Neurospora crassa OR74A: one gene and its partners. The protein of the gene in region 6 interacts with the protein of the main gene of each other region in a pairwise test. Links are inferred from orthologs where the notes say so. Each region holds a gene or a part of one and is shown on either strand. Other genes may lie near its edges.

Evidence for each region.
Region 1: the proteins of NCU06217 (region 6) and NCU00981 interact in binary tests that used the Saccharomyces cerevisiae proteins (3 or more experiments, as listed by UniProt). The link is inferred for Neurospora crassa OR74A from reciprocal best matches to the Saccharomyces cerevisiae genes NOP4 and NSA2.
Region 2: the proteins of NCU06217 (region 6) and NCU04041 interact in binary tests that used the Saccharomyces cerevisiae proteins (3 or more experiments, as listed by UniProt). The link is inferred for Neurospora crassa OR74A from reciprocal best matches to the Saccharomyces cerevisiae genes NOP4 and MAK5.
Region 3: the proteins of NCU06217 (region 6) and NCU09131 interact in binary tests that used the Saccharomyces cerevisiae proteins (3 or more experiments, as listed by UniProt). The link is inferred for Neurospora crassa OR74A from reciprocal best matches to the Saccharomyces cerevisiae genes NOP4 and NOP12.
Region 4: the proteins of NCU06217 (region 6) and NCU09894 interact in binary tests that used the Saccharomyces cerevisiae proteins (3 or more experiments, as listed by UniProt). The link is inferred for Neurospora crassa OR74A from reciprocal best matches to the Saccharomyces cerevisiae genes NOP4 and MAK21.
Region 5: the proteins of NCU06217 (region 6) and NCU01301 interact in binary tests that used the Saccharomyces cerevisiae proteins (3 or more experiments, as listed by UniProt). The link is inferred for Neurospora crassa OR74A from reciprocal best matches to the Saccharomyces cerevisiae genes NOP4 and LOC1.
Region 7: the proteins of NCU06217 (region 6) and NCU07712 interact in binary tests that used the Saccharomyces cerevisiae proteins (3 or more experiments, as listed by UniProt). The link is inferred for Neurospora crassa OR74A from reciprocal best matches to the Saccharomyces cerevisiae genes NOP4 and DBP10.

Annotation. Positions count from the first base shown.
Region 1 is NC_026501.1:6,508,714-6,512,323, forward strand, and holds NCU00981 (ribosome biogenesis protein NSA2), read right to left. Parts: upstream 2,165-3,610; 5' UTR 1,981-2,164; coding exon 1,978-1,980; intron 1,861-1,977; coding exon 1,842-1,860; intron 1,766-1,841; coding exon 1,480-1,765; intron 1,335-1,479; coding exon 893-1,334; intron 826-892; coding exon 790-825; 3' UTR 501-789; downstream 1-500. Other genes in the region: NCU00980 (hypothetical protein), read right to left, coding at 2,860-3,610. UniProt on the Saccharomyces cerevisiae protein: Involved in the biogenesis of the 60S ribosomal subunit. May play a part in the quality control of pre-60S particles. Under normal, rapid growth conditions, high levels of NSA2 would allow the progression of pre-60S particles through the ITS2 processing.
Region 2 is NC_026506.1:2,535,164-2,539,205, reverse strand, and holds NCU04041 (ATP-dependent RNA helicase mak-5), read right to left. Parts: upstream 2,801-4,042; 5' UTR 2,718-2,800; coding exon 2,493-2,717; intron 2,432-2,492; coding exon 239-2,431; 3' UTR 103-238; downstream 1-102. Other genes in the region: NCU04040 (tRNA (uridine-2'-O-)-methyltransferase TRM7), read left to right, coding at 3,338-3,440, 3,510-4,042. UniProt on the Saccharomyces cerevisiae protein: ATP-binding RNA helicase involved in the biogenesis of 60S ribosomal subunits and is required for the normal formation of 25S and 5.8S rRNAs. Required for the maintenance of dsRNA killer plasmid.
Region 3 is NC_026501.1:5,442,169-5,446,363, forward strand, and holds NCU09131 (nucleolar protein 12), read left to right. Parts: upstream 1-1,395; 5' UTR 1,396-1,697; coding exon 1,698-1,708; intron 1,709-1,771; coding exon 1,772-1,835; intron 1,836-1,896; coding exon 1,897-3,006; intron 3,007-3,075; coding exon 3,076-3,675; 3' UTR 3,676-4,131; downstream 4,132-4,195. Other genes in the region: NCU09130 (hypothetical protein), read right to left, coding at 1-793.
Region 4 is NC_026501.1:3,985,411-3,989,686, reverse strand, and holds the start of NCU09894 (CCAAT-box-binding transcription factor), read right to left. Parts: upstream 2,801-4,276; 5' UTR 2,796-2,800; coding exon 1,989-2,795; intron 1,932-1,988; coding exon 255-1,931; intron 193-254; coding exon 1-192.
Region 5 is NC_026505.1:3,571,647-3,574,781, forward strand, and holds NCU01301 (60S ribosomal subunit assembly/export protein loc-1), read left to right. Parts: upstream 1-1,420; 5' UTR 1,421-1,549; coding exon 1,550-1,858; intron 1,859-1,967; coding exon 1,968-2,288; 3' UTR 2,289-2,635; downstream 2,636-3,135. Other genes in the region: NCU01300 (imidazoleglycerol-phosphate dehydratase), read right to left, coding at 209-621, 705-981; NCU01302 (hydrolase), read right to left, coding at 2,793-2,936, 2,991-3,119. UniProt on the Saccharomyces cerevisiae protein: Required for efficient assembly and nuclear export of the 60S ribosomal subunit. Involved in asymmetric localization of ASH1 mRNA.
Region 6 is NC_026503.1:1,936,286-1,940,292, forward strand, and holds NCU06217 (nucleolar protein 4), read left to right. Parts: upstream 1-1,207; 5' UTR 1,208-1,382; coding exon 1,383-3,701; 3' UTR 3,702-3,865; downstream 3,866-4,007. Other genes in the region: NCU06216 (nuclear condensin complex subunit 3), read right to left, coding at 1-668. UniProt on the Saccharomyces cerevisiae protein: Required for 60S ribosomal subunit synthesis. Probably involved in the processing of 27S rRNA to produce mature 25S rRNA.
Region 7 is NC_026504.1:2,109,850-2,113,994, reverse strand, and holds the start of NCU07712 (ATP-dependent RNA helicase dbp-10), read right to left. Parts: upstream 2,801-4,145; 5' UTR 2,687-2,800; coding exon 2,374-2,686; intron 2,308-2,373; coding exon 1-2,307. Other genes in the region: NCU07713 (DnaJ domain-containing protein), read left to right, coding at 3,121-3,234, 3,318-3,893. UniProt on the Saccharomyces cerevisiae protein: ATP-binding RNA helicase involved in the biogenesis of 60S ribosomal subunits and is required for the normal formation of 25S and 5.8S rRNAs.

The DNA of each region.
Region 1 (3,610 bases), on a different chromosome or scaffold from region 6:
TTCCTGCGCTTTCCCGGGGCCATTAAAGCTAGGATCCCGAGACATGGGCAAATCGCTTCTTTATATCGCTTCGAGTAGCTCTTCGTTGGTACGGTATCAGCGTTTCGTTGACCGTTGAGTGGTGGCAAGTGGGCTTGAAGAGTACAGAAGTTACTCGTCGGTCTGGATAGAAAATACCTGCTTTTGATTCTTGGAGGCTGGGTTGACCCTGGAGTGATGAAGCTCGGAACTGCTCTCCTTCTAAAATCAAGATACAGAAGACAAGCTAGATGCTCTGAGCTGATGTAGAAGTCAATGTGTTGCCCTTGCGTTAGTTGCTTGCGGTGTTGCATGTCAAATCGACCAGCAAATTTCCATCGACTCAGGATGCAGGGTTCCATACAGCCATTTAGACCTTTGTAAGGTTAATCGCTTGCCAGCATAGTCTGCTCGAAACCCATGGGAGTCAACCTAGATCAAGCGCAGCAGCAACCAGAGAAGATATATCTATGTGTCTTATCGTATTAATCCATGTCTTCTAAACCATCAGGTGATACAATCAACCAAAACAAATGATCGGAGGGTATAATGTTCTACCGCAGATTGTGTGTGTATCTTAACCACTATACTACCTAAGTGAACCCCCGGACGAGATATTTTGCGCGGCCGTGAGTGTCGATCCTCTTTCAAAACACCAGACGCCAGTCCCAGATGCAAAATCAGATTTAACGCAATCCCGTTACAGTTGCCGCCCAAGAGACTAGACATATAATTAGACAAATCAAACCATCACCCTCTTCACTCTTGCGCTTAAACCAGGAGCACAGCGTTCAAGCATCCGTCGTTCTGGTGGAAGTTAAGTATTAGCAGTTCGTCCATGTAAAGTTAAGAGGCGGGGTTGTGCTGGTCATACCTCAGGGTTGTTGGTGATCTGCGCATAACGACCCCAGGCAATTTTGCCCGACGCGGTGACCATACCAAGATCGGAAACGTTGACCTCGATAATAGTACCCTTGGACAGAACACCAAGCTGGGTATAAAGGGGGTTGCTGGGGTTCTTCTTGACGCCGAGAATGGGGAGCTGAACCGTGACATTGAGGGTAGGGTGGGTGACGTTGGCCTTCTTGTAACGGAGACCCATGGGCCGGATGAAGCGTTCGTACTTGACTGGGCGTCTGGTGAAATCGGGTCCGACGAATGTTGGCTTGGTGACGACGCGCTTCCAGCCCTTCTTGTGCACCTTCTTGCCCGTCTTGACGACCTTGAAAAGCTCCTCTTCGCTGATACCCTTGACCTTGGGAATAGGGACCGAGAAACGAGCGGCCTTCTCGGCACGCTTGCTCTTGATCTGGGAACTGCACGAAGAAAACGGTCAGTCTCTCGTCATCGTATGGGACCCTTTCCAACCTCCATGACTACTGCCATCATTGCATTCACATTGGCCTCCACCTCCGCCGCGGCCGTTCGCTTCTCATGTGTCCTCCCATTCAAGTGACGTACCTCAAAGCCTTCGCACTCGTGGGGTTCGAACGGTCGAGCAGATAAGCGGGAACGGGGTTCGAAGGGTCCTTCTCCTCGGGGGCGCCCTTGACATTGCGCTCCTCGTGCTGCTTGATGGCCTTGCGCATCTGGATCTTCTGGGCATGACGCTCCTTGGCAAAGAGCTTGGCCCTCAGGCCACGCAAGTTCTGTGCATTCTCGCTCTGCTTGTGACCCTCACGGGCAGCCTTCTTGCGTGCGCGCTCCTCGGTGTCCAGACGCTTACCGTGAAGCTTCTGGGCGCGTTCTGCGAAACGAAATAATTGGTTAGGGACTGGAAACAGGTCGACGGTAATCAAGATCGAGTGCGAAGGGAACTATACCGATGTATTCGTTCTGAGGCTGTATTCAGGAAAACGTCGGTTAGCATGGTCTGCTCTCAAGTGATCGGAAGGGGTCATGATGTTGAGGAGAGTGGCTGTGGATTGGGAGGGCAATTCGAAGAAATGATATCCGTACCATATTGGTGTTTTAGGCCCTTTGAGGGTCTTGCGGTTCAAGATATGTGGCGACGCAATCTGGCCTTCAGATGTTGTAGGGCGACGAAGGGCGACGAGAATGACGATGCGGTTTAGGTCAATATGCTTCAGTACCTCTACCTATGCGAATGCCTGCTGAACGGACGTCTTGAAGCCGATAAAAAAACCATTCAAGGCTAGCTTTCCTTATCGGGCGGCTCCTCCAGTGGCGGAGACCCGTAAAGAGGTGGACATAGTGGGGCAGCTTCATCACCTGTCATTGGTTGATATCTACTTAACAGCATGTCCAGGAAAACGTGGAGTGGGTTCGGATGAAGGTGCCTGCCAGCTGCAGGGCATTGGAAGTGCACCGCGGCAGCCAGAGCCGCCCGTTGAGGACGAGAACCTTGATGGAAGGCCAGTGGACAACTTTTGTATAGATCCGGAGATCACCTTACCATTCGTAGAATGGCTCCTGCAACTAGGTTATTACCAAGGGACACTAGTTGTGTGGCTCGCATAACCCGCTTCAACGAGCACAGTAGGTATGTCAACAAAGGCAAAACCCAAAGACGTGGTATGCTTGGGGGTGTTAAGATATCTAGATATGCTACACCGTGTCATGACAACCTATACTATAATTCGTCCGACGGGCTCTATTGCCAGCCAACGCCCGCCAATGAAACCGGAATCCGTGCAAAATGACTAAACTCCAGACGCTGATGCAAAATGTTTCTGGGTGTCCGTCCTGTCTTCCAGCCAACGCCATTGCAAAACCGTCTCCAGAAAACGAATTCCTGCCTTGAAATTATCACGATGCGCCGAAACCTTCCCAATTTAGAGGCAAAAGAAAGAAGGAGACACGCCACGCAACCACGACATATCAGCGGTCTCCGGCTCTGGACTTGAGTTTTGCAAGTGCTGCCCGCTTTCTTTCCTCCTTCTCGCGCTTCAACCTCTTCTCCAGCGCCTCCTGCTCCATGTCTTCTCTGCGAGCCTGCAACTCTGCCCGGCGTTCCTCCGCGTCGATGTCGGACAATCCCGCCTCCATGTCTGAGTCATCCTCTTCCAGTGACTCGTAACCACCGCGACGACCATAGCCGTAGCCATCGTCCTCATCTTCGTCGTACTCGATGAAATCGTCCAACTCTTCATCCTCCTCCTCGCGTCTCCGGGGACGTGAGAATGAGGCGCCATAACCGGACAGCCCACGGCCCCTACTTGCGCCTGCCGAGGTGGATGCTCCTGGTTTTGTGGTGGTGGCCCCTGGGCGGGGACGTGCCGTGCCTTGGTATCCAGTCGTCGCTAAAGCAGCCTTCTTTACCTTCTTCTCCTCCACGGCATTTTGGCCTGTCTTGGACTTGGCGCCAGCCGGGGCTGAGGGGGTGATACTCCGCTGACGGTTCGCAGTCGTGCCGTTGGTACCATTGCGGGTTGGCCCAGCTGTCACACCGCTCCTCCCGGTAGTCGGTGGCCTTACATCCTTCTTGCCCTTTTTCGCTTCCTCGGCCTTTAATTCCTTGCGTTCCTTCAGCGTCAACTGCTTCTCCACCTTCTTGTGCTGAATCTTTCCAACGGATGACAGCATGGGCTGATTGGCCTGGGCCCTTGCCATGATCTCTGCATAGGAGCGT
Region 2 (4,042 bases), on a different chromosome or scaffold from region 6:
GAATCTAGGCCATGGGGAAGATGGAGACCTTGATGGACCCATGGACCCTGTCTCACTTGGCAGCACAGTCCAAGACGTGAACTGTTCTTTTAGTGCCTTATAGAACAAAACACGAGAGAAAAAATACAAGACATCTTACTCAGAGTGAAGAGACCGGATACTATATGTAGATCACCGCTCAGAATTAAATGGTTAACCGTGAAAGGAAACATGCAATACCACAGCCATGAATCTGCGTCTAATCATCCAAGCCCAATCCGTCCACCTGGCCCAAAAACAGCCCCTGCTCGCCCTTCAGCAGCTCACTAACATCCAGTCCAGTGAGGTACCTCTCGCTGACGCCCGTGTTGATCCTCTTGCTCAAGAGGTCTCTCAACGCAGCCCTCAGCGACGCCAACTCGCCCTTGCTCATCTGCTGTGCCTCCTTCTGCTTCTGCTTCTTGGAGCTACCCTTGCCACCCCACTTGCCCGCCTTCTCAAGCTCTTCCGAGTCATAGTCGACGCCCAAGTCCTCTGCCGCCTTCTTCATCCAATCGTCCTCTTTTCCACCCATGGTCTTGGCCTGCACCGCATCCGCGATCTTCTTGGCCAAGTCGACGCGCTCCCGCAACTTGGCGACGATGCGCCGGTCGATATCGATGGTGCGAAGTCCGCTCGAAACGAGCTTCTTGGTGTTGTTGCCCGAGTTGCCGGCCTTGACCTCGGCCTGGGCGTGCACCTTGGCAACGAGGCGCTGCGTCGGCACGGCTTCTTTGGGCCCGCAGAGCAGGATGCTCGTGCCCGAGTTGGAGGCACGGGCGGTACGGCCGGAGCGGTGCACGTAGTCCTCGGCGGCGCGCGGGACGTGGTAGTGGATGACGAGGTCGACGTCGGGGATATCGAGACCACGGGCAGCAACATCGGTAGCGACCAGGATAGCTGCAGAACCGTTCTTTTTCTTTGCGCCTTCGTTGGCCTTGAAGCGGTCGATAGAGCGCAGACGGGCTTGCTGGATCATGCCCGAGTGGAGAGGGAAGGCTGGAAGATTGAGGTTCTCGAGGAGGGGGGTTAGGCGACGGACAGAGTTGACCGAGTTGGTGAATACAAGCGCGCGCCGTGTGGGCTGGAGCATGAGAGTGGCATAGAGGTAGAGATCCTTCTCCATGTCGCCGCACATAATGAGACCCTCCTTGAGGTTCTCGGCCATTTGGTGGACGGGATTGGCGTCGACAAACTTGGGGGTTTCGCGGAAGTTCAGCTTCTGGAGAAGATACTCCATGTCCTGGGTGCTCGTCGCCTTGAACTTGGATTTTCCGGCCAACTTTTGCTGCAAGTTCTTGTTGAACGTGGCGGAGAAAATGAGAGTCTGCCTCTTGTTGACGTGCTCTTCCTCCTCCTCCTCCTCCTCCTCGCTGTCCTCTTCTTCCTCTTCCTGTCCCTCCTCATCAGTACCGCCCATCTTCTGATCCTCATTGTTCTCTTCCACCGGTGGCCTGTCAAGAGCCTTGAAAATCTCCTCGGCCTCCTTGAAGTGACCGTCCTTAAGAAGTCTATCTGCCTCATCCAACACGAGGAAGGAGATGTTCCTCAGAGAAGCGAGCACAGAGTTATCTGAGCTCATAACCTCCCACATTCTGCCCGGGGTCGCAATGACGATATCGGCGACCTGGAGCTGTCGTTTTTGCTTCTGTACGGCCATGCCACCAAGAACCGAGCAAATGTAAGGTGCTGTAGGAAGACCTTTGCAAAGCGCTTGAAGATGGTCTCTGATCTGCTGGGCAAGTTCTCTGGTGGGTGACAAAATCAGCGCTGTAGCGCCCTTTCTCTCTTCCTTGTTCTGCTTCCTCGTCTCAGCAGCGCTCAACCAGCTTTCGATGACGGGAATTCCGAATGCCAACGTCTTTCCCGAACCGGTGGATGCTTTTCCGATAACGTCGTGACCAGCCATGATCTCGGGAATAGCCTTGGACTGAATCACGGTGGGCTTGGAGAACCTGAGTTTGGCGATGGACGAGATCATACGAGGTGACAAATCGAGTGGCACCCATTCGGACATATCAATTTCCTCCTCTTCAGGCTCAGGAAGCTCCTCCAGTTTGGTGAAAAGATCGGTTTCTAGTTCGGGGTCCTTCGGCTCGACAGTAGTTTTCTCGTTCTTGCGGGCCTTCTTCTTGTCCTCGGCGTTCTTCTTATTCGCTGCCTTATTTGGCTGCTCCTTCTTTGGCTGTTGCTTTTGCTGCTTTTGCTGCTTTTGCTGCTCCTTTGGCTTCCTCTGGTCCTTGGAGGCCTTCTTTTCCTTGGCTGGAGTACTCGCAGCTTCGGCCTTGGTTTCTGATGTCTTGACTTCCTGGTCCGCATTTCCAGCAGGTTTCGGTGTCTCTTCGTCGTCGAAACCACCAAACTCTTCGCCGTCATCTTCTACCTCTGCCTCCGACTTGGGGACCGCAGCCATCTAAAGACATATGTGAGTTCATTCATGTCCTGTCGCTGTCATCATCCATGACCCAACTTACGAACTTGACAACATCGCCATCCTTTACAATGTCAACACCGGTAATTTCCTCCAAACCAAAGAAACCCTCCGCATCATCGAACATTTCAGGAATGTCGACCGTCTTCCATGCCAGCGCATCAACGGAAACAGGTCGCTTGATCTGCTTAGACGACGGTTGCGTCTTGCGGCGCTTTGGCCCGCTGGCGGGGGCTTTTGTGTTCTTGCGCTTCTTATCGACGGCCATGGTGTGAATATGTCGTCGTTTTCGGGTGGAAAAGGGTGTCGGGTTTGAGTGCTTGAGGTTGTTGGATGCACTGATGAACTTTGATTTGAAGGGTGTTGTTGACACTGCTCAGTGAAAATGGCTGTAAAAGTGAAATGGAAATTTTGGCTCCACCTTGCAGCTGGGTTGCAGCAGCCTCTAGCTGGAACAGGCTAGCCCATGTGCTGTAAATGACACCGCCTACCTATTCCAGGTCTGGCTAACAAGCTTGTAGTGTAGAGGGTGCCGACAGAATAGGACGTGGAAACAATCAGTCTGACTTTGATGGAGGAAACAAAACATGAGACGACATCTTATGATTCAAAGCTTTCGTTTATCGCCAAAGTCCTTCCCTCCAAGTATGCGCGTCTATGGTGTGCGAGTGCTGGGGCCGCCAAGGTGCTCGATAATTATGCCGGCAGAATCCTTTTTGGCGGTGACTATTTGCAGCAGACGGACCCAAATCGGCGCCCAGCGACAGCGACCCGTCACCAGGCAAAAGTGGGGCCCAGTCTCTTTCACAAGCTCCCGTCATTCACTCTCGTCACCCACTCGCGGCACTTCATTATTCGACACAAGTAAGTGAGAGCGAAGCATTCAAAATGGGGAAATCATCAAAAGACAAGCGTGATGCCTACTATCGCCTTGCAAAGGAGCAAGGATGGCGTGCCAGAAGTGCCTTCAAGCTTCTTCAACTAGACGAAGGTAAGAACTGTTTATTGCATATGTAATGTAAAGAAGTGTATCACCGCTAACACCGAGCGTTCCCATCAGAATTCAACTTGTTTGAAAATGTCACTCGTGTGGTCGATCTCTGCGCTGCCCCCGGTTCCTGGTCTCAGGTTCTATCGAGGGTTCTCATCAAGGGAGAGAAGTTCGGCCGGTGTGCTTGGCAAGACCGTGAGGCCAAGTTCCGCCAACAGATGCTCAACGTCTTTCCCGAGAAGCAAGACGCTCAGGATGAGGTTCAGAGGGTGCAGGCGACTCAGGAGAGCACGCCGGCTCCCAGGGAACAGGTCAAGATTGTGTCCATCGACTTGCAGCCCATCAGCCCTCTGCCAGGAATCATCACTCTCCGAGCCGACATCACACATCCCGCCACCGTTCCGCTTTTGCTTAAGGCGTTGGACCCCGATTTCGACCCAAGCACCATGAACCCGCAAGCCTCACACCCAGTGGATCTGGTCATCAGCGATGGTGCGCCCGACGTCACAGGCCTGCATGATCTTGACATCTACGTCCAGTCACAGCTCCTCTTCGCAGCCCTCAACCTCGCCCTCTGCGTCCTCAAGCCTGGCGGCAAGTTC
Region 3 (4,195 bases), on a different chromosome or scaffold from region 6:
CGCTTTCGGGGTTCGTCGAAATGACCTCAATGTCGACGACAGGCACGTCATCGGCTGAGAGCTTTTCGGGAAAGGTATTTGACTCAGTCCGCCTTTTGAACGGTTGGCTGAGATCTTGTTGCTCGGTGACTGAGGAGCGTTTCCGCTTTAGGATATCATGTCGGGGTGATAGTGTGAGGATCTTTTCAGGCGAGGCGGAAACTATTTGTACTTTCTTCGCCAGCACGGGAGATCGCGCAGGTGGTAGTTTGGCAGCAAATTCAGGCTCTTCGTCACTCAGGTCTTCCGAGGCCTCTTCGTCACCCACTTCTGCTTCTTCTGAGGGAGTGTTTCGCCCGCTGGCAGTGTTTTCCGGTTCGTAATCAGATTTGATTTGCTGCTGAAGCTTGCTAGGGCTGCGCTCGAACGTCCGATCGCGGCGGTCGGTGAATTGTCGAGTGCCAGGCTCACCCGCGGTGTCTACGATGTCGCGCGATACTCGATCTTTCGGTGGTGTGTCGTAGAGCCTCTCTGTCTCTGCCTCGGAGTCATTAATATCCACGTCCGACAGCTTGCTCTCGTCGTCAGTCTCAGCGCCAAGGTCCGAGTCGACGCCATCGCGATTGTCAGTTCGGACCGATGTCTCGCGATGTTGAGAGTGGTTACTGTTCATGTCCAAATCCATGTCGTCAGGATCTCCATGCTTGTCTTCCACGTCACTAAGTGGGCTTGACACATCGCTAGGGCTGTGTTGGAGCAGAGGCGGAGGGGGGCTCGAGAGAGCCAAGGACAGCGCGGTGTCACCGGTAGCCATCGCGGATCATAGAATCCGACGAGATTGAAACTAAGCAACGACGCGCCAATGTTGGGTTGAGCAGCTGAGCAGTGGAAAGTTGGACGGCCACGTAGAATTTAGTCGTGGACGGCGGACTGGACGTCCGAACTGTACGGGCAGCTCAAGAGCAGCACCTGAAGTTGTGGCGCCACGATCAGGGTAAAGTGTGTTTATGCCGGAAGGTTAAAATGTGTGCTCGCACACAATGAAATGTCTCGGAGATATGGCTTTGTTGTCGGTACGAGGGCGCGATTGTCAAGAGATAACGTGCGGTCTGGGTAGGTAAAGTAGTAGGAAGACAGATCGGGAGAGTGAGGAGCGGGCAGTAGGTATCTGGTTGACGACCTAGACTGGGAGCTGGACAAGCGCCCACAGCACCGCACCAGCACGCAACACAAATGGGCAACCGGCAGGTTTCTGGGGGGCTCCATTGCCTGCCCGCTTGCCTGCCGCCGCCGCCCGTCTCCAACAGCCCAGCGCACCACACAAAGGCGATGGCAGGCGGTGAGTCTTGGCAGCTTTGATAACAACTGATAAGCGAGTTTTTTTTTTTAATGGGAGGATGCAAGATGTTCCACGGTCCTCGACTCGTCCTTACGATGCGCAGTGGGGAAGGTAGAAACGACGACCCTTTGAAACCCTGGACCATTGAACCTGCCTGCATAGAAACTGGTCTTGCCTTGTACAACATCCTGCTAGAAATCAGAAGTGGAAGCTTTGCAATTCGATTTTGACAGCATTTACAGCCAATCACATCTTTCGCCTCGTCGTCGAACTTCAGTTGTTTTTCCGTGCTCTTAGAACTAAGTCAATCACAAGTGCTTGATTGGCGAATCGTGCCACTTTCCCATCCATTGCGCTTACACACGACGGAAAACTCACAATGGGTAAAACGTGCGAACAGCCCTACGCTACAGTCAACGCCATTCTTCCAGTATTCTGACACCACTATTATAGTAAAGGACTCGTTGCGCCGGTGAAGAAGGTTGATCCTAGCTTGGATGCTTTGTTTGCTACCAGTGTAAGTCATCTCGCTCTGACCAGACAGGCAATTGGAAGTTTACATGGCTAATCTTGTGTAGGTTGGTCCAGCGAAGCCCCGCCCAGCTGCAAAATACTCCGAGCCCCTACCGACAAAGTCCAAGAAGGCGCCAGTACCTTCCAAGAAAGAGGAAGACGTTCAGGACGAGGGCGATGACGAGGAACTGAGCGAGCTTGACGAAGAATACGATTCCGAGGTCGGCATTGGAGAGGATGACGAAGACGACGAGGCTGAAGACAACAGTGACAGCGAAGACGAAGCCGTCGCGACCCTCGAAGTTGTTGTAGAACAAGGAAAGGTCCCGGAAGAAGATGGACCGAAACGGAAGCGGAAGCAACCCGACCAGCACGACAATCTCGAACACAAATACCTGTCCAAGTTGGCGGAGGACGATGAAGAGCCGGCTGGCAAGCGTCTCAAGGCCGACGAGCAATCCGGAGAAAAGAAGGATACCGCCAAGGCCGAGAAGAAGGACGACGACGACAGCGAGTCTGCGGATGAGGTCCCCGTTCACGAATCGCTAGCGCCCGATGCTGCCCAGAACGAGATTGAGAAGGCCAACCGCACCGTCTTCCTCAGCAATGTCGCCGTCGAGGCCGTCACCTCTCGTTCGGCCAAAAAGGCCTTGATGAAGCATATGGCTTCAGTGTTGGACAAGGAGGCGAAACCTGCGCAAAAGGTTGAGTCGATACGGTTCCGCTCGACTGCCTTCGCTACCGCTGCCATTCCCAAGCGTGCCGCTTATATCAAGAAGTCCGTGATGGAGGCCACTACGAAGTCGACAAACGCCTATGTTGTCTACAGTACCCCTGCGGCCGCTCGTCTTGCCTGCTCGAAACTCAACGGCACAATCGTGTTGGATCGCCACATCCGTGTCGACAGCGTTGCCCATCCTGCCCCGGTAGACCACAAGCGCTGCGTCTTCGTCGGTAACCTTGGTTTTGTGGATGACGAGACAGTACTGCAAGTGAAGGTAGACGAAGACGGTAAGGAGGTGACCGAGAAGAAGAAGCGGACAAAGCAGCCTATGGACGTTGAGGAAGGTCTCTGGCGGGTATTCGGTAAAGAGGGCGGCAAAGTTGAGAGCGTTCGTGTGGTCCGCGACCCTGTCACCCGTGTCGGCAAGGGCTTCGCCTACGTTCAGTTCTGCGTGAGTTATCACTTCTCTCTGTCTCTTACTTGCCCGTTATCAACTAACAACTCTGTTCCCCCTCCGTAGGATGAAAACGCCGTCGAGTCAGCCATCCTCCTCAACGGCAAGAAATTCCCGCCCATGCTCCCCCGCGAGCTACGCGTCAGCCGCTGCAAGGCCCCTCACAAGACCCTGCGTGCCATCGAAGCCAAGAAGCTCAAGGCGCAGGGTGCCGTTCCGGAAACTATGAAGAAAGGCAACAACGGGAAGAAGGGTCCTGGCTCCAAGAAATCCGACTACGCCCCCAAGATCTCCGCCGAAGCCAAGACCATCGCCGGCCGCGCTGAGAAGCTCCTCGGCAAGTTCACTGCCAGACAGGTCATCGGCTCCGACAAGAAGAAGACTTTCAACAAGCAGGACAGATACCAGGCCAACCAAAGGAGGAATCACGCCTCGGGCGCCAACACGGAGGCGACCGGTCCCAGAGTCCCGGGCGCCTACAAGTCCCCCGAGAGTTTCATTCTCGAGGGTAAGCGTGCTAGTGCGGCAGACGGAAAACCTAAGGATCTCAAGTTCAAGGGCGCCAAGAAGAACAAGGCGCCGAATGCGGGTGGTGGTAAGAAGAAGACTGGTCGTGCTGCTGCGAGGGCTTCGAAGTGGAAGGTTCAAGGGAAGGGGAAGAAATAAGTGCTAGGCCATTTGCCTGATGTTTAGGGTTGTTTGCTGGTATAGAGCCAACGGGCAGCAGCCGGCGTGGTGCGGGTGCGCGCGTTTCATCCGGCGCGGCCCGTGGATTTTCAAGCTTCAAGAAAAGGGGCAGAATTCGAAAGTGAACAGAAGCCTTCGATTCATGACGCGCGCATGTATGGATAGGATAGGATAGGCTGTAATGCAGTCATCGCATATGAAGGTATCTCAACGGACTGTCCCCAACCGCGTGATACTTCGCAATGACGGGAATGTGGAGGAAGAGCCTTGGCGCCCAGAACTAGGTACATATGTAGTTGTCTGAAATTGCAGTATAACCGTGGAACGACTGTTAAGCCTGGCTCCGTGGTTCTTGCGACAGGGAATCGCAAACAATACAAAAATTAACAACACGGCCACATTGAAAGAAAATAAAAAAGAAACAACGTGTAAAGCCTTCAAGTGCACCATACCAACTTTCTACATGATGTCTCGTGGAATTGTGGGTGAGCTGTGTAGG
Region 4 (4,276 bases), on a different chromosome or scaffold from region 6:
AGCGAGGACCGGCTGCATGATTGAGCTTCCGCGCTTGGTCTCGGTAATCTTGGGGTTGCGGTAGACAAACTTGTCCAGGAAATGCATGAGGCTGTGGTTGGCCAAATCCGGCTTCGGCAGGCCCTTTTGACGGACGAGAAGGTTACTGGCATAAACGTGTACGGATGGATGGAAATGAGATAGAAGAGGAGCCTGGTGGTTTTGAGGTTAGTAAACTGGTTTCACATGCAATCAGAGTTCAAATAGGCACTTACCAATTCCCACAAGCAGCTTCTGTGCGCATTGCTATGCTCGGGATTTCTCTTTCGTCCATCATATCCTGTGGCACGACGGGAAGTTGGTGCGTCTTCACGCAAGAGACTGCGCTGCAGAGCCGCATCATCATTGACATCCTTGTAAGCCTCCACGCCATCATCTTCATTCTCCTCGGGAACAGTAAGCAACGAATGAAGGTCAGGAAACATGTTCTCCAGCTCGGAAATCAGATATAGCACCCCGCATGCGAAGGACGGCTGATGCAGGTTAAGCACCTGAACCAATCTCTTGACAAAAGCCTTCACTCTCCGCACGTCGGCATCATTCTTCAGGGCTCGAAAAAGTAGATTCATGTACAATGCTTGCTTCGATGACGTGATGAGTCTGGGATCCAATAATGATTCGTACAATGTCCGATAAAATCGGTCAACAGCGAGATGTTTGGTCACGGCGAGCTGTTGAATGAGCATGAGTGCTTGCACGCTGGTGTTGAAGTTCGACGAGTGCGTGATGCGAAACAAGGTATCGAGATGTTTTTCCATGGTCTCATCGTCGGCGGTAGTGAAGGGTACCGCACGATTGACACCAGTAAGCAGTGCGGATACGAGTTTTTGTGTCGTATCCTGCTCGTTGGCAGAAGCCTCGGTGTGATTTCGCTTGCCCTTCTTAGCTTTCCTGTTGCTGCCGCCAGATTTGTCCTCGGAATTTAGCGCTTCCAGGTTTCCCAATGAGCCAGTTTTGAGGAGGGAAAGGAAAGCCTCGAAGTAGATTCGGAGTAGCGTGTTGGCTATAGCGGGCTCTTTGGTGCTCAAGATGGTTTGATTCAGGGTGATGATGGCGTAGTATTTGGTGCGCAGACCTTGGCCTGGCTTGAGCAAAACCTCTTGCTCTACCGTGCTGATGACAATGCTTTTCATCGCAGGGTGAATGTTGAGCAACTGCAAGAGGAGGTATGACGCCCGAGATGCAATTTTCCGTTCGCGATCACCGAGTTTGTTAACAAGAAGTCGCAACAAATTGGCCTCTTGTTCCGGCTTGTCCCGGAGCAATGTGAAAACAAATTCCAGCGCGCGCATTCTCGAATGCTCAATCTGATCAGTCGACCAGATTTCGAGGAGCTGGACAATGCGAAAATACGCTGCTTTGAGCCAATCCTCGTATGCCCACATCATCAGGTAAGAATCAGTTAGCTTGGCTGGGAGCTTCTGGCCCTGAACCCAATGCAGCACAGCTTGATCTTGTAAAGCGGCCAGCAAGGCGGGTTGCATGTTGAACGGACGAAGCCGGCGATTACTTGGCAGAACTGTGCCATTGCCCAGCAGATCCACTAGAGCGCCCAGGGCAGCGAGTGCCTGACTACGGCTTTTCTTGCCGGCCAACCCGATCAGGGTTTCAAAGGCTTTCTGGTTGTGGAGAGGAGACTCTTGTATCGACAAGGTTAAGGCAGATACCTTGTCGGATAAGGTGCCGGAAGACATAATGGTCGACATGAACTTCTGAGTGGAGCTGGAGGCCTGGAGGGCGTTGTATCTTGCCGCGTCCTCCTTCAAGAGAGCGTCCGCGTAAGCTTTGAGGTTGGCAATCGCTGAAGAATATTGCCTAACGTCGGCAGATGGTGTGAAGGCAGGTAGGCCCTCGAGGTCGAGAGCATGCCAGTCAGGTCTGGGCTCAAAACCCTACTCAAGTTAGCATACCGCCAGGTAAGTCTGCGGCAGCGAGAGCGTCGAACTAACCAGCTTGTTCTTGCCTTTCTTCCCGCGCAGGGTGTCTTGGGCGGTCGTAGTTGTGCTCTCACTTTTTACTGTGGCAGAAATGGCTAGAGGCTGTTCCTGATCCTGGCTGTCATCCTGTTTTGTTTGTTCCGCGTCGTCGTCCTCTTCTTCGTCGTCTTCTTCGTCTTGTTCCTCGTCGACGGGGTTTTCAGACGACACGCTTTCAAGGTCATCCTCGCGGGGTATGTTCTGGAAGCCCAGGCTCAAGGCGAACTTTGTCAGTTCCTCATGAAATGACTTATCCAGGGATTTTTCGGGCGCCGACGCAGATTTCATGCCAGGTCCCTCTTCATTGTCGGAATCAACATTGGCGACAAGCTCAAGATCATCCTCGTCTCCGCCCAAGGCCAAAATTTCCTCCAGCAGAACCTCCTTTGTTGCATTGTGGGACTGGTCTTTGCTGGAACGGTCCTCTTGTCCTTCTTCAGTGCCCAGTAGAGATTTCTGGCGCCTCTTTGCATCTCGATCATCAGCTGTGGTGTTCGGTCTCTTGCGATTTGGTGACGCGTGTTGGTCAGTGCCGACGCCAGCGAGAGTTTGGTCGATCTTTTCGGTCAGTTGAGCAAGTGCTGCTGCTTCGTCGAAAGCCGGCCCCATGCCTTTCCTCTTTCTTTGCCTCGGTGACTTGGATGAGCCCATATCTCCTAAATCCGTCGTTGCCGAAATCAATGGACAGCGGGCCGGCACAATGTGTCTCGAGGTTGGCTGTTGGTGATGCAAAATAAACCATCTACGAGGAAGGGTTGGAAAAAAAAATGCTTGGATCATGCACCTAGCGGACCCTCGTGCGTCTTGCAGGAAGAGTGGAGCAAGTGGAGGTACAGATGTACACAGTACACTGACAAATCTCTATGTACTATGCAGTACTCTCCAAACCTCGGCTGGTTCATCATTGGCGCGGTACTTCGATTGACACTTTTTCTTATCAAGTTTCATTCGGTGGAGTTTGGCGATGCAAGCCTGAAATAGTGCTAAAAGTGTTAAGTCCTACGCTGGGTAATATTTGGAGAAAGTCTAATCGTACAGTTAATATTGTCTATCCGTACGGTGGTCTACTTTTGCTTTATTAAGTATAACTTAGTAAAACGGAGACTAATGAAACTGAAAGTGGCACCAAACTATTCGTTCATTTTTGAGGAATTTTTTAAGGTAGGTACCAAATCTATATCCCTAAGCATCATGGAAAAACTACCCCTTAAGCCTTTTTCATCTAAAATCTTATTAATTATTTATTTATAATAGCTATCTTCTTTGAGAGTTTCCTAGGGCTACTAGGTAGGTCTGGTCACTCCAAAAAGAGTGTTAGATAGAGTAAAAGATCAGAAAAAATATAATGCATTTTGGTAAGTTAATACTAAACTCTATTAAGTTAGAAAAAGAATATGAAAGTCTATTTTTCATTACCGTACGGATAGATAATATTGACCGTACAATTAAACTTTTTCAATATTTGATTTAGAATTGAATTGTACAATCTAACTTTAGTGTGTTTGTAGGTTTAGTACTAAAAAAAAGCCAATTTCTACTCTAGAGCCAGCTACCAAATGTCGAGGGTAGGAAAAACGTTTGAACCTCATTCAGACAGGTACTAAAAGGGGACTACTCTCTCATATCTTCCAGTCTTGGAGGTCCTAAATGAGACAAAGAGGGGTATAAGAAGGCTTCCATAGCATTTTCCACCCTGGCTATTATTATATAACGCTTCCAACAGAGGCCCTTTTCTCTCTTTAAAGGCTAATAGAAGCTTTAAACAATTTCTCCTATTCAACGTATAGCTAAAGAACCAAACTAACAAACAAACTAGTATTAACTTGTAGAAGGACCTACAACTAGGAGTTTAGTGCCCGTGGGGTATATATTGGATTTACTAATGAATCCCACTCACCGGACACTTCTATTTATAGTAATGTGCCTCGTAAATGCTAGACCTAATAAATGCAAATACTTAACAAATACTAGGAATTTCACTATATGTATTATTTTAGTATAGTATACCTACTAGCTGCTAAGTGCTAGCCGTTAGCCGGCTCGCTATATAAATTTACAATTGCCAGGGACCCCTCGAGGGAGCTAATAAGGGGTGTCAAATGTACCTAATACCCCTTATTAGAGCTGTTAGGGGTACTAGAAACCCTCCAAATAGTATAGCTAGCTGCCCAATTTCTAAAGGATTCTCCTTATTCTTTCCCCCCTTTACTCTTTTACCCTCATACTAGTACATCCCTTCATTTTACCCTTTCTATTTATAA
Region 5 (3,135 bases), on a different chromosome or scaffold from region 6:
CAACCTGCATCAGGGGTAAATTCCCTAGGTATACATTCGCCAATTCGCAACATGTATCTGGTTTTCCATTCTTCACTTCAACTCTACGCCGTCGCTATAGCGAAATGATGGCAGCCGAACATGCGCGCAAAGTACCACGGTAAACGACATCACATGGTATCATTGCACTTCTATATCCAAACCTATAACTAACTCCCTTCCCACTTCCTTATACGCTGAGCGTTCCCTTGGTGCTAGGAACTTCACCCTCGCGACCCGCCACCCGGCTAGTAGCCTGCCTCGTGGCAACCGCAAGCGCCTTGAATGCGCTCTCAGCTCTGTGGTGGTCGTTGTCGCCGCGGAGGCAGTCGACGTGCACGGTAATGCGGGCAGCCCCGGCAAAGCTATGGATACAGTGGGGGATCATCTCGGTGCTGAGATCGCCAATCTTCTCGCGCTTAAGACCGAGGTCGACAACGGCAAAGGGACGGTTCGACAGATCGACGACGGCACGGCTGAGGGCCTCGTCGAGAGGGCAGTATGCGGATCCGAAGCGCGCGAGGCCGGTGGGTGTGCCGAGAGCCTTGGCAAAGGCGTAACCAAGAGCGATGCAGACGTCTTCGGCGGTATGGTGGTCGTCGACTATGAGAGGGACAAAGTCAATTCAGAGTTCTGGATGTTGTTCCACGAGGACTTCTGCGCCCAAGCCAAGTGTGTCTACTAACTGTGAAGGTCGCCCTTGCAAGCAAGCGCAAGACTCCAGCCGGCATGCTTGGCAAGCGCATGGAGCATGTGGTCAAGGAAACCAATGCCGGTATTGACGCTGATAGTTTGCGATTTGCTAGCCTGAGTGGCATGGCCGTCGGCGATACTGACGTTCAAGCGGGCGTCGGTCTCGGGAGGGAATGCGCCGCCATCAAGGTTGAGTGCGATCTGGATCTTGGTCTCGTTGGTGTCGCGTGCAAAGGCGGCCCAGCGGGGCGCGGGCTGTTCGGTGCTCATTTTGTCTGAATAGGGCGTCTGAGACTTCTGGGGACTGTAGACTCTTGGGATATCACCACGGCAGTGTGATCAATTGCGATGTAAGGATGGCGACAATAAAGGTGATCTTGGAAATTTTGGCGATTTCGGAGTGCCACCAGTGAGGGAACGCACCGATAGGCAATCGATATGGAATAGGTACCTCCACTAGTGCTGCCAACCCCGCGCTTACACTAGAAGGAAACTAGAGTTTCCTGCTCGCCTGCCGATCCCCAGCTGCCAATTAGAGATTTCAAGGCAGCCCCACGGCGAGCTGACAGACCCCACTGCCCCGTAACCGCGCTCAGCAGGCGTTGATACAGTGCTATATGCACAAGCTCTAGAGGTACCTTGGATTAACCGCGATAAGATAAGGCAGGGACCAATTCCGGTCCCAAAATTTTCCCCAGAAGTCGACCGAACTGAAGCGACAGCGTACAGGATACATTCGAGAGTATTCGTACTCCATCCACCCATCCATATCCCGAACCACCATTTCATCTATCGTTGATTTCTTACGACCTTATCAACGAATCAACCACAACTCACAATGGCGCCGACAAAAACGATAAAGAACAAGCACGCTGCGAACAAATCCGGCATCAAGGGCAGCAAAGATGCGGAGAGGTCGAGGAACGATGGAGTGCTCAAGTCCAAGGGAAAGCCGAAGGGCAAAGCTCACACTCTCGTGACTGCCAGCAAGGGCCGACCGAACATCCAGGAGCTTATCGCCAGGAAGAAGAAGAAGAAGACCTACAGCGAAAAGGAGCTTGCGATTCCGGAACTCAACATGATCACCCCCGTTGGTGTGACCAAGCCAAAGGGAAAGAAGAAGGGCAAGGTGTTTGTGGATGACAAGGTAAGCTGTCTTTCGTTAGCGTCTGGGGTCATATTGGTTTTTTGTTTTCTTGCTAGGTTTCAAGACCGGAAAGCATCAAGTAACTGACATGTTTTCCCCCTTTGTACAGGAGAGCATGGCCACTATCCTAGCCATCGTACAAGCAGAAAAGGAGGGCCAGATCGAGTCCAAGATGATCAAGGCGCGACAAATGGAGGAGATCCGCGAGGCGAGACGCGCTGAAGCCGAGAAGAAGGAGGCTGAGCGCAAGGCCAGACTCGAAGAGACTAAGGACTCGCTGCGCAAGAAGCGTAAGCGCAGCAAGCAATCGGGCGGTAGCAAGGGCGACGACGACGATGACTCCAGAGATGTCAAGGAGTTCTCGTCTGCGGGCACGAAAGCCGTTAAGTCGAAAAAGAAGAAGTCGGTATCCTTCGCTGCTCCCGAATAAATAATCAAGCAAGGATGCTGGGAGCTTTGAAGGTCCCTCCTGGGAATGGGCTGGGAGAATGAAGACAGGAAGGGTGGAAGTTTGTCGTGTAATACCTACACCAAGCATTTTTTCTTCGCATGTATGGCGTCTGGGCGTTTATATCAATCAAAGTCTGGCGGCGGGTAGGATGGCTTGGCTGGGGGAACAGTTCTGACTGATTTTGTGTGTGGAAATTAAAGATACCAATTGGGCACGCCAGCCTTGGTCCAGCCTCTTTTTCTCATGAGTCGGTAGATGTTATTAGGTGAAACCGTCAGGATGGTGTAGTTCGTGGCTCGCATAAGCCATCAATGAACGTACGTTCGAACCTGTATCCAAGTCGAAAGCGCGAATCTAAGTCTATGTGCAGCCCCAATGTGCCTTGAAGCGCGTCTAGACCCTTTAGGCCCAATCGATGGACCCATCTCTATAGCTAATCTATGTACAGTCTTCGTTCTTTTCAAGTGTTCATTCCACCACCATCTATTGATCCACATCGAGAATCTGCAACTTTCGCTGCACAGGGTCGAAGTGAGTTCTGAACTGGCTATCGAACTTGTCACAAGCATCCGGCTTGATGGCGTCCAAGTCAATATCGAAAGCCATCTTGTTCAGGAAGTTGCAGATCTAGACAACAAATCAGCAAAAAGTTACCGGAAAGTGAGGCAAAAAGAAACTTACAGGACGAGTATGCCATCGTCCGCCACCAAGTTCGAACCATGAAAGATGTCCGCCGAGAGACGTGAGGCAAAGTACCGTGTAGGGGTTCTGCTTGATCTCTTGGTAGGGAATGGCCTCCTCAACAGCGATCTAGTAATTTGTCAGC
Region 6 (4,007 bases):
CCCTCGAACTGGTTGCCAGCCAAGCGTCCAAGACCCAGCACAGCCTGTGCCCGGACCATGGCCTCCTTGTCGCGAATCCTCCTAAGTAGACTTGACCGTAGCTTCTGGAAGAGGTCGTCGTCAATCGCGTCGAGGGAGTTGATGATATGAGATATGAGTTGCGTTGACCGATAGCGCACAAACTTGTCCTTGGCGATCATCAAGGGAAGAACGGTTTCCATCAAGTGTCCGGTAAGCCGGGTGCTGGGTGTCTCGGGCATGGTGCTGGCGTCCGGGTCGGCCTCGCCGAGAATTTCGTTATCCTTCTCGACGGCATGCCGCAGGAACAGACCGATGAAGCGCACCGTCTTCTCGCCGACTCCCTCGCTCTTCTTGATGGGCATGACGCGCAGGACACAGCGTACAAACTCCTTGTTGAAGTCATCTTCCTCGAACTCGTCGGCCTCGGCGGGCTTCTTCGTACTCGTCGGCTCGTAGCAGCATGCTTCTTGTATCTTGCGCAGGGTCACGGCCAGCTTGCGATGGGATGCCGTGGTCTTTTGGGCGTCGCCGAAGACGGTCGCGACTTGTGTGCGTAGCGCATTGTCGGGAGTATCCAAGGGTGCTTCTGGTACGACCGAGGTCTGGCGCGCCCCGCGTGTCGCTCTCGTCGATCTGCCCGGCGCCATGGTCGGCAATGACTGTTGGTATTAGCGGGGCCTGCACAGCGGCAGTCCTCTATTTGTATGCGATATGGAAAAGGTACAAGTAATCCAAGCCCAAGATATAAGAAAACAAGCAAAAAAAAAAGACGGATGTGAGGTTTCGTAGGATGGCTTTTGCAACTGAGCAGGAGCCGGGGATGAATGAAAGTGACACTATTCGCGAATGAAGGTTGTTTTGTTTACTTTGCACTGCAGGTGGGCTGCTGTGAATTTCCTGGCGGCCCCGTCGTCACCTAGCGGGAGGGACTGTCTGACCTGCTGCAGAGGGGTCGCGCTGCTCGCTGCGCTGTATGTCGCAAAACGTATCGACCCTGCTGGTGAGCTTGAATGGTCTGTGCGCCCCGCCTTTCCTTTGGTGTGGATTGTGGAAGCGCGCGAAGAGAGGAAGTGGAAGAGACGGGCTCAGGATCCCGCTGCCAAGCTTGAGGGAAACGATAAGCTCCCTTGTACGCTCTTATCGGGACTCCACTTCGAATATTTTTCTTTGGGCGAAGGGTCCAGAACTGTTGTCGCTGGGGGAAGCTGTGCACTCGGCGATTCCCATCCACCATTTGCGCCTTGAGAGGGTCTGTTCTCTTCACTTTTGGTTTGATTTGGCTGCTTTCTCATCTCTCCCCTTCTTTCAACAACAACACCACCTAACAAACACATAACATAACAACCCGATTGCTTGCAATAATGGGCAAGGACGGGAACAAGAAGCGCCAACGCGAGGTGGACGAGGAGATCCCAGTTGATCCCGATGCCATCAAGGATTCCGATGTTGCTGCACAGAACCCCCCAAGCAAGAAAGCTAGAGTTGAATCCAACCGCTCTCTCTTCATCCGACAGCTGCCTCCAAGTGCCACCGCCGAGTCTCTGACCGAGTTCTTCTCCCAACATTTCCCTGTGAAGCATGCCACCGTCGTCCTCGATCCCAAGACCAAGACCTCGCGCGGCTATGGTTTCGTCACCTTCACCGATCCCGAGGATACCCTCGAGGCCAAGGCCAAGCTCAACAACTACCTGCTTGAAGGGAAGCGCCTGAAGCTCGACATTGCCGAAGCCAGACACCGTGATGCCAAGAAGACCGGACCCGTTGTGTCCAAGGTCGCCGAGGAGAAGCAGAAACGTGCCGAAGCCGTCGCCGAGGCCCAGAAACCCAACAAACTCATCATCCGCAACCTGCCATGGAGCATCAAGAAGCCTGAGCAGTTGGCCGAGCTATTCAAGCCATATGGTAAGGTCAGGTTCGCCGACTTGCCCAACGATAAGGGCAAGCTCTCTGGTTTCGGTTTCGTCACCCTCCGTGGTCGCAAGAATGCCGAAAAGGCTATCGAGGCCGTCAATGGCATGGAGGTCGATGGCCGCCCATTGGCCGTCGACTGGGCCGTGGATAAGCAGACATGGGCCCAGCAGAACGGCGAAAAGTCAGACGACAAGAAGGAGAAAAAGGACAAGAAGGTTAAGGAACCCAAGGACAAGAAGACAGAGGAGGAGGAGACTGCTGGCATGACACAGGAGGAAAAGGATCTTTACAACTTCTTCAAGAGCCAAGGCGAGAACCTCGAGAGTGAAGACGAGGAGGACGAAGACAAGGACAAGGAGGACGAGGATGAAGACGATGAGGACAAGGACGAAGATGATATCGAGGAGGACGAGGAGGACGAGGAGGATGAGGAGGAGGAACAGAAGCCCAAGCGGCTAACCGACAACTCTCTAACACTCTTCATTCGCAACCTACCATACACCACCACCGATGAGCAGCTGAAGGCGCACTTTACCCAGTTCGGCGGCATCAGATACGCCCGAGTTGTCAAGGACAAGGCCACCGACAGGCCAGCCGGTACCGGTTTCGTGTGCTTTTTCAACGAGGAGGAGATGAAGGCCTGCCTCAAGGGCGCCCCCCGCCATCAACCTACCACCACACTCGTCAAGCACTCCATCCTTCAAGACGAGACCGTCGATCCGGAGGGCAAGTACACGCTCGACGGGCGCATCCTTCAAGTCGCCCACGCCGTCTCCAAGGACGAAGCCGAGCGTCTCGCGGAGGCCTCGGCCGGTAAGAAGGACAAGGACAAGAGACGCCTGTACCTCCTGAACGAGGGCCAAATCACACCCTCGTCTACGCTCTTCAAGGTCCTTACCCCGGCCGAAATCAAGATGCGCGAAGCGTCGGCCAACCAGCGCAAGAAGCTGATCCAGTCCAACCCGTCGCTGCACCTGTCGCTCACCCGTCTCGCGCTGCGCAACCTGCCGCGCAACATCGGGTCCAAGGAGCTCAAGGCGCTCGCGCGCCAGGCCGTCGTCGGCTTCGCCAAGGACGTCAAGGAAGGCAAGCGCGCGCCCATCTCCAAGGAAGAAAACTCGCGCGGTGGTGAGCAAGACAAGGAGAACGAGCGCCTCCGGAAGCTCAAGGGCAAGGGTGTCGTCAAGCAGGCCAAGATCGTGTTCGAGACGACCACGGGCACCAAGGTGGACGAAAAGGTCGGTGGCGGCAAGTCGCGTGGCTACGGCTTTATCGAGTACTCGTCGCACCGCTGGGCGCTCATGGGCCTGCGCTACCTGAACGGGTTTGCCGTCAAGAACGAGCTGGGCAAGACGCAAAGGCTGATTGTCGAGTTCGCGATCGAGAACGCGAACGTGGTGCAGCGGAGGAGACAGGATGAGGAGAAGCAAAGGACGATGACGCCCGCGGAAAGGAAGGCGGAGATGGAGGAAAAGAAGAGATCCAAGGAGGCCAAGGAGGCATACAAGGCTGGAAGGAAGGCGGATAGGAAGAAGGGCGCTAAGCCTGAGAAGCCTGCTGGGTGGAACAAGGGCAAGGATAAGAAGGGCCCGGCTGAGGTGGCCAAGGCCGCAGGCGCCGCCCCGGCGAAGGAGGTGAAGGCTGAAGATATCAAGGTGGATAAGAAGGGCAAGAAGAGTGAGATGGTCAAGGAGGCCCTCATGACCAAGATCCTGGCGAGAAAGAGGCAACAGAGGAAAAAGAAGGCTAACATTAGGGGCAAGAAATAAGCCTGGGCTCTTGGAGTTTACCTAATGTAGGGAGAGAGTGTGTGTTTTTCTGCTGCTGGCCCGGAATGTTAAACCATTTATGTTATTCTTAGGGCCTTTCCTGTTTGCTATCTAAGTATACCTTTATCACGATCAAAAGCAATCCCTTAGCGTTTTCCAACACCTCTCAGTCTATTTCCGCCGTGGACACTCGTGAACTCTTTCGCTGGCAGTTCTTAACCAAGACAACGCTCAATAATATTGTACGCCCTCTACATGCTATTATTATATAATAGAACGCCTGTTTGCCTGCTTTGTTTTTCTCGC
Region 7 (4,145 bases), on a different chromosome or scaffold from region 6:
TGAACTTGTCCGCATCCTTGGGCGCCTTCTCCATCTTGTGCTTGTACCGCGGTTGGCCAGGTTGGGCTCCGAAGTTGCGGATGAGCTGCGACTTCTCCGTCTCGCCAATCGTGGGCAACTTGCCGAGACGGTTATCCTTGCGCCACCGGTCGAAGCGGCCGCTCTTGAACGAGGCGGCAATCTTGACACCGGACTCGCCACGAATCATCTTGGCGCCCTTGGAGCCGTCCTCATCGTTGGCGACCGCCACGTACTTGCTGTGACGCTTGTCCCAACGCATCTTGGATTTCGTGGGCAGACCGAAGTTCTTGGCACTCTCGTCGTTGGTCAGGTCCATGGTAGCGTCGCGAGCGGCCTCGACGAAGCTGTTGCCGCTGTAGCCGCCCGAGTGAACACCGTAAGCCTTCTCCTCCGCAAGGCTAGTGGTGCGAGGCGTGTAGGACATGAAGATCTCGGGGTCTTGGAAGTTGACCGGGCCACCCTTCTTCTTCGTATGCATGCTGCTGGATACTGTAACCTCCATCTCCGAATCCGAGTCGTCGGCGTATGGGTCTTCCTTGGCTTCCGCCTCTTCTGCCTCTTCCGCCTCTCCCTCCTCTTCCTCATCCTCAAAGTCTTCGAACGCATTGGTCTCCTCGCCGTCAGGTTTACCCTCGGCATCTTCCATGTCCACGTCCTCATCATCCTCGTCGTTGGTAGTCTTGCGCTCCTTGAATCTGGAACGCATGTTTCGTACAACTTCCGCGGCCTTATTGCGGCTAGACTTGCCCTTAGGGCCAAGTTCAAAGATGGTTTCCTGGGGCTTGAAGCGGTTTATCCTGCTGAGAAGATCATCGCGAGCTGCCTGGGCTTCAGCGGCTTCTTCTCCAAACAAAGGATGGAGCTGTGTCCAGCCCCTGGACTGCGTAACTTCGCGGGCTCTCTTTGCGCTCTGGCTCGACGCAGAATTCCTCGTCTTCATGTAGAGCTTCTCGGCCTTTGCGGCAACACCCTTCAGCGCCTTGAGATCGGCACTCTCCTTGAGCGCCTTCTCAACCCACTCAATGTTAACATCCACTCCATCTCTCTTTAGTGTTCCAACTACGACGTCTGCCGCGAAGGAAGGGTTCTTCTGATCGTGGCCGATAATAAGTTTCCTTCCCAGGAAGAGCTGTAGATCAAGTAGATATGGTACGTCTGACTGACGGACCAAACCATAGGCCCAACCACGCTGACCCGCACGAGCTGTACGACCAACACGATGGACAAAGATCTTGGGCTGAGATGGGAAATCGTAGTTGATGACGTTGGCGAGAGCAGGCATATCAATACCACGGGCGGCGACATCGGTAACCACGAGAATATGTGTTCTTCCCCGACGGAAGTTGTCAACTTGGATCAAACGGGCCGTCTGGTCAAGCGAACCGTAAACGTAGGACACGGCAAAGCCTGCGAGTTTCAACAGGTTCGCAATGTACTCGACGTGATGTTTCGTTGCTGTGAAGATGATGGTCGAGTATTCCGTCGGCTTCTCCTTAGGATTGGGCCTGTACTCGCGTTTCCTTTTCCTCGCCTGCAATTCGTCACTCTCTTCCTTTGTGCCCTCGGGCGGACCCAGCGGGACCTTGATGACGTCGTGGAGAAGATGGAGAAGGGCACCCTCCTTCTCACCTCCCTTTACTGCGAAGAAAGCACTCTCGAGGTCGGGTGACACCTTGGTTTCGGCATCCAACCTGACAAGGCTTGGCTCTTGAAGACCGGCTCTGGCGAATTCGACCAAGGACGATGGGAGCGTCGCAGAGAAAAGAAGCGTCTGTCTGGAAGGAGGGAGGGCGTGAAGAATTTCGGTCAACTCAGTAGCGAAACCCATTTCGAAGAGGCGATCAGCTTCATCGAAGACAACGTATTTGATGGAGGCCAAAGAGAGGTTCATTTCAACCTTGAGATGGAGGAAACGACCGGGTGTGGCGATGATAATATCGGGATTCGACGCCATCATACCAAACTGTTCTTCTAGGCTGTCACCACCGACGAGCAATACGGTCTTTAGATCGGTACCTCTGCCGAGTTCCTTGACGACCTTGAGGGTCTGCAACGCAAGTTCACGCGAGGGAGACATGATGAGCGCCCTCGAGCCAACACGTGGACTGTGCCCCTTCAACCTCTCAATCATGGGGATAACGAAAGCTGCAGTCTTTCCGGAACCGGTTCTGGCCATGCCGACCACATCTTTTCTTTCTAAAATCAGGGGGATCGCTTTGCGCTGAATGGGGGTCGGGACGGAGAAGCCTTTTCTGGTAATCGCTCGGAGGAGATGGGCGTTTAGACCTAGGAGAGTATCAGCAGCTGCCCCAAGCATCATCAACTTATGCCATGGGACGGAAGACTACGCACCCATTGCCTGGAAACCTCCACCCTTCTTGACTGATTTGCCCTGAATGTTGGAGGACTTTCTCTGCGAGCTCCGTGTGAGCGAAGCGATAAAGGCTTCGTCATCATCGCCCTCGCCATTAAAGCTAGGTAGTCCATCATCGCCGTTACCGAGAAGATCGTTGAAATCGAGGTCAAGCCCGCTGTTCGTAACAGCTCCCTTCTTGGTGTGGTGCTTGCTGCTGTTGTCTTCGAAGTCGCTGTCGTTGTTGAACAAAGCACCCGCGATGTCAACCTCGTTCTCGGACGGTGTGGGGGACGCTGCGCGTCTAGGCATGGTGAGCGAGGGTTGTGTTGCTGCCAATTGCAGCACGAATCGCTAATTGAAGATGCAAAGACGGACGGGGTGGGTTGGAGTTTAGGTTGGTGATGATGATGGGGTCTTGGGGTCTCTTGTCTACTGTAGCCATCAATGCCTGCCCGTCACCCGTAAATTTTGGATGGTCGACTTTTTAGTGGGGCCAATGTGACATTTATCCATTATCAGCTTATCAAGTACACCCATTGCATGCCCGTGGGTTTGCCTTGGCAGCGCTGGCGTGCGTTAGCTGTGCTTTCCGCGCTCCTGGAGGTGTCGCAAGTCGCAACTACTGAACTTCCCTAAACTTCCCCGGAGTTGCGTTCCGTTTGGTAGACCGAACTTACTTATCCATCAACCCTTTGTAATTGATCAAACAAGCATCCAGATTGACCCTCCATTCCGGCGACAATATGGCGACAGACACTAAGGACGTGAAGGACGTTAAAGACGTCAAAGACGAAACTCCTGCCGACACTCGGGATGCGCTTGAAGTGCTGGAATCTGAAGCCAAGGAGTGGGAGAAGGCAAGCCAGACAACAACCACGCCCAACTATACCAACATTTACATCCCCAACTCAGTAGTTGCTGACAATCTAAATTCCGACAGGATGCCGAGATCGACCGTATCTTGAAAGCCTTCCGGCTCGACGCCTACTCAGTCCTCGGCCTCAAGCCCGGCGTGACCGAATCCGACATCAAGATTGCTTACCGCAAAAAGTCCCTGCTGATCCATCCCGACAAGACCAAAAACCCCTTGGCGCCTGAGGCGTTCGATAGACTGAAGAAGGCGCAAACGGAGCTAATGGAGGAGAAGCACCGCAAGAACCTAGACGAAGCTATCGCGGACGCGCGCATGCTGCTGATCCGCGAGAACAAATGGACGGTCGACAGCCCTGAGCTCAAGACGGCCGAGTTTGAAAAGAAGTGGCAGGAAAAGACCAAGTTTGTGCTGATCGAGAACGAGCAGCGACGACGCAGACAGCTCAAGGCGCAGATGCAGGAGGAAGGCCGCGAGCAGCGGAAAGCTGACGAGGAGGCTGAGCAGCGCAAGCGCAAGAGGCAGCACGAAGAGGACTGGGAAAAGACGAGAGACCAGCGCATCGATAGTTGGCGCGCGTTTCAAAAGGGCAAGTCTGGGGATTCGGATAAGAAAAAGAAAAAGAAGTTGAAGCCTATTGGCTGAGCAAGAAGAACCTGCAATGCTCTTTCATATGAGCATGCGCAGCAATATTCAACTACGGCAATTGCAAGATGTGTTCATCAACGATGCAGTAGCGGAGCTTACAACGAATCGAAGGAAGCCATTTTTCTTGGGTTTAGAGGAATGGGGGTGTTTACACGCAAAGCTTTGGGTCGCGACTTGGTCGCTGTTTTATGGGACAAGGTGCTTATACATATACACATCAGAGAATCATGTAAGTCCGAGAAATTGAAG